Cricetulus griseus: one gene and its partner. The protein of the gene in region 1 interacts with the protein of each later gene in a pairwise test. Links are inferred from orthologs where the notes say so. Each region holds a gene or a part of one and is shown in the gene's direction. Other genes may lie near its edges. The genes, in order: Phf1 and Pdlim7.

The links.
Region 2: the proteins of Phf1 (region 1) and Pdlim7 interact in binary tests that used the Homo sapiens proteins (3 or more experiments, as listed by UniProt). The two-hybrid records come from large-scale screens. The link is inferred for Cricetulus griseus from reciprocal best matches to the Homo sapiens genes PHF1 and PDLIM7.

What each region holds. Positions count from the first base shown.
Region 1 is NW_023276806.1:232,131,153-232,135,053, forward strand, and holds the start of Phf1 (PHD finger protein 1), read left to right. Parts: upstream 1-1,053; 5' UTR 1,054-1,212; intron 1,213-1,840; 5' UTR 1,841-1,856; coding exon 1,857-2,015; intron 2,016-2,099; coding exon 2,100-2,181; intron 2,182-2,264; coding exon 2,265-2,360; intron 2,361-2,995; coding exon 2,996-3,096; intron 3,097-3,185; coding exon 3,186-3,334; intron 3,335-3,482; coding exon 3,483-3,578; intron 3,579-3,712; coding exon 3,713-3,781; intron 3,782-3,901. UniProt on the Homo sapiens protein: Polycomb group (PcG) that specifically binds histone H3 trimethylated at 'Lys-36' (H3K36me3) and recruits the PRC2 complex. Involved in DNA damage response and is recruited at double-strand breaks (DSBs).
Region 2 is NC_048596.1:274,498,244-274,502,144, reverse strand, and holds the start of Pdlim7 (PDZ and LIM domain protein 7), read left to right. Parts: upstream 1-1,380; 5' UTR 1,381-1,504; intron 1,505-2,448; 5' UTR 2,449-2,459; coding exon 2,460-2,555; intron 2,556-3,901. UniProt on the Homo sapiens protein: May function as a scaffold on which the coordinated assembly of proteins can occur. May play a role as an adapter that, via its PDZ domain, localizes LIM-binding proteins to actin filaments of both skeletal muscle and nonmuscle tissues.

The sequences.
Region 1 (3,901 bases):
TTGTAGACTTTACGCATGGTTGTTTTGCCTGGGTGTGTGTACATGTGCGCCATGTGTATGCCTGGTGCTTCTTGAGTTCAGAAGAGGGCTGGCTTCAGGTCCTCTGGACCTGGTCTGATGGATGGCTGTGAGCGACTGTGGGTTCTCTGCAAAAGCAGTCAGTGCTCTTAACGACGAGCCATCTCTGCAGCCCTTGTTACGGCTCTTAAATAAAGGTCTTGTTAGTCCTGGTAGGTTGTAAACAAATACCGTAAGCTTGCAGAAGTGTGGCTTCTGACGTGTGCTTTGCACAGTGAGGCTATGGGCTTTTCTCTGTTGGGCTCTCACTTGGCTGTCCTTCAGCGCGGGTGTTGCACCCATAGCTGCCACACCGGGCCTGGTGTGAGTCCCAGCGCGCTCGATCCGCATCCCCTCCCTCTGCCTGCCCACCGCTTGGAACTACGGTTCCCTGCCGCCCGCTGCCCATTGGCTGGCTGTGGGCACGTCACCGGCTGGGTGCTGGCCCTGCCGCCCTGGCTCGCCCGCTCGCCGGCCCTGGCCCGCTCGCTCGCCTGCCCGCCCGGGAGGGAGGAGCGCAGCCGCACCGGGCTCCCGCGGCAGGAGGTGTGGCTGTCTGCCCAGGTGCAGCGCCCAGGCGGGGCCGCGCGTGCGCAGAAGGGCGGGGCGACAGGAAGTGTGAATGGGGAGGGCGGGGCCGCGTGCGGAGGCGGGGCTTGGAGTGGCCACGGGGGCGGGGCAGCTAACGGATGTGGCATGGGGCGGGGCTGGGCCCTGACCTGCAGGCTGGCTGCCAGCAGGGTTATTTCCTGCCGCTCCCGGGGCGAGCCTCCCGTCCGGAAAGGGGGCTGCAGGGGTCCCCTCGTCCTGCCCGGCCGGCCGCGCCCCCAGCCGTGCGGTGCCCTCGGGGCCTGCCGGGGGTGAGGGAGGTGCTGCCTGTCCGCCCCTCCGGCTTCTCCTCCCTCTGGTGCTCCCCACCCACTACTCCTCCCTCCCGCCCTCCCGCGGCCGACTCCTCCCGCCGCCGCCGCCGCTGCTTTGGCTGCTGCGTCATACGCCCCAGAGCCGCTAGGACGGAGGGGCTGGGCCCCGGGACCCCCGGCCTCCTCCTGCACGCCCTCGGCGTCCGCACGCACTCCGCCCGCGCCGGGGCTCGCGCCCCTAGGGCTCTGGGGTCTGCCCCTAGCTGGCTCCCTGCTGACCCAGCTGTCACCGGTAAGAAGGAGGCGGGAGGCCCTGAGCGGGGGCAGGGAGGGGGCCGGGGGTCGATGCTCAGCAGGGGGCAGGAGAGCCTCTTGGCACCGGCTTAGGATCCGGGCTGGGGGGACTCGAGTCCCTCCTCAGACCGGCGGTGTAGGGTAGCGGAGACCTGGACAGGGACACGCCCCCCTCCTGGGGCACTCGGGGAAGTTATCTAATCCCAGGGCAAGCAGCCTCAAATTTGAGGGTGACCTAACATAACCTGGCACCAGGACAGCGGTTCTAAATGAGACACACAGGCCTGGGGAGGCGGATGTCTCTACTCAGGGAAACATCTCCAGAAAAGCTCCCAAAATATCTCTGGGCAACCGAGCGTCCCAGTTAGGATACCTCTAAACAGCTGGGAAAGGCGAAACTGAATGAATGGTAACCTTGGCTCTGAAAGCATCTTTTCCCCTAAGGCCCCAGGGAGCTGGGATGCTAGAGAACCAGGCTGGGGACCAGGGTGACCCACCTCCTTAGGTGTCTAAAGGATTCAGTGACTGAGCTTGGAGGTGCTTGGTCCCTTATCCTTGACAGTAAAAGCAGACAGAGCAGCCAAGCCTTCTTAACATTCATAAACTCTTCCATCGTATCTGATTAGCCCCTCCCAGGATGCAATGGCGCAGCTCCCCCGGCTGAGCCGCTTGGGTGCACCCTCTCTTTGGGATCCAGCTTCCCCTGCTCCCACCTCAGGCCCTAGACCTCGACTTTGGGAGGGTCAAGACGTGCTGGCTAGGTGGACCGATGGGCTGCTGTATTTAGGCACCATCAAAAAGGTAAGAGCCAACTCTGGGCCCCACCATGGATCCTCTCCCTCTGATTCCTGCTCCCACTTTATAATCTTTGCTCACCCACTCCAGGTGGACAGTGCTCGGGAGGTGTGTCTGGTCCAGTTTGAGGATGATTCCCAGTTTCTGGTTCTATGGAAGGACATCAGCCCGGGTGAGACCCTTCATAACTGCAGAAGCTGGAGGGTGTGGGGGACACTGGCTGAAGTAAGCCACCTGACACCTTGTCCCTCACAGCTGCCCTCCCTGGGGAGGAGCTCCTCTGCTGTGTCTGTCGCTCTGAGACGGTGGTCCCTGGGAACCGGCTGGTCAGCTGTGAGAAGTGTCGTCATGGTGAGAGGAGAGGGCAGGATACTTGAATGGTACAGTTTGCCCTGGGTCTTCTGGATTGCCAGTTGTCTTCCTAGCATGGGTCTTGTGTCTCCTATCTTGGCCAGTCTTCACCCTGTCACCTCATCTCAGTACAGGGAGAGGGAGCCATAGGATGAAGATGACATAAGCCATGCAAGGTTGAGGGTAGCTACATACATCTCTCTCTCTCTCTAAGGTTGAGGGTAGCTACATACCTCTCACTCTCTCTCTCTCTCTCTCTCTCTCTCTCTCTCTCTCTCTGTCTTTTAAAGATTTGTTTATTTATTATACAGTGTTCTGCCTGCATGTACAACTTCAGGCCAGAAAAGGGTACCAGATGTCACTACAGATGGTTGTGAGCCACCATGTGGTTGCTGGGAATTGAACTTAGGACCTCTGGAAGAGCAGCCAGTGCTCTTAACCTCTGAGCCATCTCTCCAGCCCCCCCACCAAACACACACCACACACACACACACACACACACACACACACACACACACACACACAGTAGGACCATGGTCAGGATATAAACGCACAAGGGAAGGCTGCCGTGTACGAGCACCAAGCCAATGCAGGTGCGCACACAGTGTTTGACTCTCAACATTGTCCTTATTCAGCTTATCACCAGGACTGTCACGTTCCCAGGGCCCCAGCCCCTGGAGAAGGAGAGGGCACATCCTGGGTCTGCCGCCAGTGTGTCTTTGCGATTGCCACCAAGGTAAAGGCACCTCTCTGCCACTTCCTATGGGAGCCTCCCATGGCCCCTTCTCTCCTGCCTCTCTGAGGTTTCCACCTGTTCCTCTGCAGAGGGGGGGCGCCCTGAAGAAGGGCCCCTATGCCCGGGCCATGCTGGGCATGAAGCTCTGTCTGCCGTATGGACTAAAGGGGCTGGACTGGGACGCCGGGCACTTGAGCAACCGACAGCAGAGCTACTGTTACTGTGGAGGCCCCGGGGAGTGAGTGGTGGGGGTGCTGAGTTCTGGGGTGGACGCTGTGGTGGTAGAGCCTGGAATAAAGGGGAAGGGGCAGGCTGAGGGGAGCCCCGAGGTGATGGGAGGTGGGTGAGGGTTCAGGGTGGTCTCAGGCAGGCTGTCTTCCCCTGAGGTGGAACCTGAAAATGCTGCAGTGTCGGAGCTGTCTCCAGTGGTTCCACGAGGCCTGCACCCAGTGTCTGAGCAAGCCCCTCCTCTACGGAGACAGGTGAGCCCAAAGGAGGCTGTCCAGGAAGCCCAGGGCGCCCGCCTGCTGTGCTCCACCCACGCCCAGGCCTCCCAGCGTTCGCTGTCTACCACTTGTAGAGTTGAACGAGGTGCGTTCTCTGTCCTCATGTCCAGATTCTATGAATTTGAATGCTGTGTGTGCCGGGGTGGCCCTGAGAAGGTCCGGAGGTTACAGCTTCGCTGGTGAGATGGATTGTGCCTTCCTTCCTTCCTTCCTTCCTTCCTTCCTTCCTTCCTTCCTTCCTTCCTTCCTTCCTGTTCCCCGCTGTTTGACTCTCATATGCGCTGCTGCCTTCCTGCCTC
Region 2 (3,901 bases), on another chromosome or scaffold:
CACGGGGAGGCCTTATTTCTTTTTACTTTTATTTCATGTGTATGGGTGTTTTACACTGCGAGCTTTATTTCTTTTTACTTTTATTTCATGTGTATGGGTGTTTTACACGGGGACCCTTATTTCTTTTTACTTTTATTTCATGTGTATGGGTGTTTTACACGGGGACCCTTATTTCTTTTTACTTTTATTTCATGTGTATGAGTGTTTTGCCGGCATGTTAATATGTGCACTACATGTGTGCCTCGTGCCTGAAGAGGCCAGAAGAGGGCATTGAATCTTAAAAGAAAAGAAAGCAATGGAGAAAGGGAGTGGTCGGCCTGGCCTTGACCAGCATGCCTCAGCAGGACGGGATGAGACCTGAAGGCTGCAGCTGACTTGATGGAGGTCGTGGAGACCTCGAGTACCATAGAGACAAGGGACAGCAAGAGGAAAAAGCAACGCAGACAGAACAGCAGAGTACCAAGGAGCATTTCTTCAAAGATGACATCTCCTGCAGGAGTTTGAGCCGTCGGGACAATGTTGGGGAAGGGGGATGTATGTAAGGATGGTAGGAGGGCGTGGGGGGGGGTCGTGCCCCCCACCATTCACTCTAACACTCAGGAGAATCGGCTTTCCTTCCCTCTGCCGTGACAGCTCCTTCCACCCCACCCCCACAGGACGGACTGTGTGCTCGGGAGGGGTGTTCAGGGGATACAGTCCGTCCCAATAGTGGTGCTTGGTGGATGTCGCAGAGCTGTGGACTGCTGGCTCTGTCTGGATGGACTCTTACTGTCAGGCCCCATGTGGGGCTAAGGGCCTCCTCCAACTCCGTTGGCTCTTACTATTTATTTGTTTATCTATTATTTATTTCCTTATGTATTGGTTTCCAGATTATCCTGCAAGCCTAGCTTTGGTTGGTTGGTTGGCTTTGGTTTGGGGGATTGAACCAGGGGTCTCTACCACTGAGCTACATCCCCAGCCCCGGGAAAGCTAACTTGCAACTACCCTGTCTCGCTGCTTCTCCATTCCCTGGAATTCAGAAATTCTGAAATCTCCGGTGGCGCGGACCACGGCCGCTTTGACCTGTACCGTATCCCTGACAGAAGGGTATTATGAGGCTATTCTCCCCTACAAGGGGAGAATGAGGTGAGAGAAGACCTCTACAGCCGGGGTGTTTTAAAAGGCTGCTTTCTCTTCCCCCTCGCCAGTGGGAGGCGCAAGGGGCTTGGGTGAGAGCCCGGAGCGGGGCGCAGGCTGGCGGCGACCAGGCTCGGGAGGGTCATTGCCCGGGTAAATGCGCGACCCTCCGTCCCTGTCCTGGAGACTCAGGGCTTGGGGACGGGGTGGGGCCTCGCACCGACCCCGGGATGTCCACTCGCGTGGCCTGGGGAGGGCGTGGCCTAGGGCTCCGCCCCCTTCCGCGGGCTCAAAAGGCGCGGCGTCCGCGGAGGCGGGGTCAGAGCGCAGCGCGGATCCCAGCAAGGCTCCCGGAGGCCGCCGAGCCGCGGCCCAGCCGGGCACCCAGGTACTGGCGGCCGCGGGGGGTTCCTGGGCTGCACCCCGTGGGGTCCCGTGGCCCGCTGAGGTGCTGCGGGGGGCGTGGCGGCCGTGGCCTGCGCCGGATCCCCTCGGTTGGCTTCGGCCGCAGCCTCCGCCCCCGCCTTCCTGCGGCGGTGCGGCTGATTGGCGCCTGCGCCACCGTGTGCGGTGGGGACGCGACCAAGCGCGGGGCTGGGGCTGGAGACGAGGGGAAACAGAGTCACGTTGGGAAGGGAGCTTCGTGCGTGTGTGCCACCACTTTTACTGGCTTCCAGAAAGAGTCCCCTCCCTGGCCGCGCGTTAGGGACATGACCCCCGCCACTCTCCATGGGGACAGCGCCCCGTTTCTTACCCCCCTTGCAGTGCCCGGGGTCCCACCCTGGCTTCCAGCAGCCTCGACCTGTCCCAAAATGGCTAGGACCCGCTGCAGCGGCCTCCTTCCTCGCCCCTCCCCCTCACGTCCCGAGCCCCTAAAGTGCTCCCTCCACGGGCTCTCCACAGTGTCAGCTTACACGCCTTATATAGTCCGAGCAGGCTCCAGCGGCCTGCTGGGACCCGGGGAAGGAGGGGGAGCTGGCCCCTGACTCACCCTGCCGCCCTCCTGAGATTCCAGGTTAGCTTGGGCGAAGCAGTGCCAATTAGCCCCACAGCCCACCCCCGGGAGAGAAAAGAAGTTAGACTTGATGAGAACTTTGCTCACCCTCCCAGTGGCAGGGGCCAGGGTGGGGAACTGACTTGTCTGTTGCCTGTGAGGTCTGCCAGCCGGGAGCCCCGCCAAACCCAACAAGATACCTGCCTCCCAGTGCCTGTGTGTGCTGAGCGTCTCTCTGTGCCTTCTGGTACCTGGCTAACGCTAGTGACCAGATCTGGACCTGCTGGGCCATCTGCAGTGCTGGGTGCGGCCACTCACTTTCTCTTCTGTCCTCACAGGAGCAGGCACCATGGATTCCTTCAAGGTAGTGCTGGAGGGGCCAGCACCTTGGGGCTTCCGGCTGCAAGGGGGCAAGGACTTCAATGTGCCCCTCTCCATCTCTCGGGTAAGCCTAGACTGGGGAATGCACTCCCCAAGGGTTCTTGGGTGCCCATGTTTCCAGCAAATGGTGGGAAGAAACAGCAAGAGCGAGCAAGCTGCTCAGGGGCCAACAGGACACCAGCATCCAGGTCCAAATGGGCCCTTACTTCAAGGACTCCTGGCTAGGTGGATAGTGGAATGGGGAGCCCCCCCCCCCCAGCTGCCCTGCTTTGACATGGTACTTGATGCTATTCCAAGCCCCCTTGGCCATCTGTGAGTGCCAAGGAGAAGCCTATTTTACAATATGGGAGGTTGATGTCTCCAAGAAGTGCTTTAGCATGAAGAACAGTGTGTGGCACCAGGTGCCAGGCAGGACCTAACTTTAATGTCACTGCTATCCAAGGCATAGCAGTTGTCATCCTGCTTTGCCAAGTGACAGGACTTGGAGGGATGGAGGAGCTCAACCAGCAAGTCCCTGGCAGAGCAAGAATATGAACTGAGGCACAAAATGGCTTGTCCTTCCTGTAAGTTTAAGGGGTCTCTTCCCAGCTGAGTGAGGACTGAGCAGGCTGAGACTCAGGTCCTCAGCCTGCTGGTTCTGGTCAGGCTGTAGTGACCTTTGACCCTAAGCAGAGGTGTAGTGAGGCTAGCCTCCAGGATTCTTGTTCCCATTCTTCAGTCTGCCCTGATGGGGGGTGGGGCTGGGAGCTGACTCCTCCCTGTGGCAGGGGGATTGCCTTATAAGCCCAAGAATGTAGCCCCAGCTGGGATGGCCAACAGTGGCCAGTCAACAGAACCCAAAAGGGTTGGCCTAGGTCTAGGCCCCTTAGCGCCATTGGTGGGCCCTTCACCTGATCATCAGTCATTTTGTGTCAGTGGGACTCAAAGCAAACTTTGTGCCAGAGTGGGTGAGGCCAGGGCGCCAGCTTGGTAGCTCTGACTGGCCTAGGGGGTCAAAAAAGGGGCAGGGACTTCCTGCCCTGATAGCCTCCTGCCTAGAGAGGCCCACCCAGCCACAGAGTAGGCATGCAGCTGTTGGCAGGAAGCCCAAGGCAAGCCCAGCCCGAAGGGGCCTGAGAACTTCCCGACACTGCTCAGCCTGAGAGGGGTGTCAAGGCTGCATCTCTCAGTGGGAGCTGGACATCAGATATCGGACATCGAGGCTAGGGCAGGCATACAGACAAACAGGCTGCGTTCTTCCCAGGACCCTTCCCTGGGGCCCTCTTGGAATCCGCCCCAACCAGCAGGGTGACTAAGGCAGTGGGCCCTCCCCCCATGCACATCCTACATCTCCCTCCTCCCGGGAGTGCTGGCCAGTGTGGTGTAGGGCTTGCTTTCTTCCTGGGTAACGATGGCCTCTTAGATGTTGCC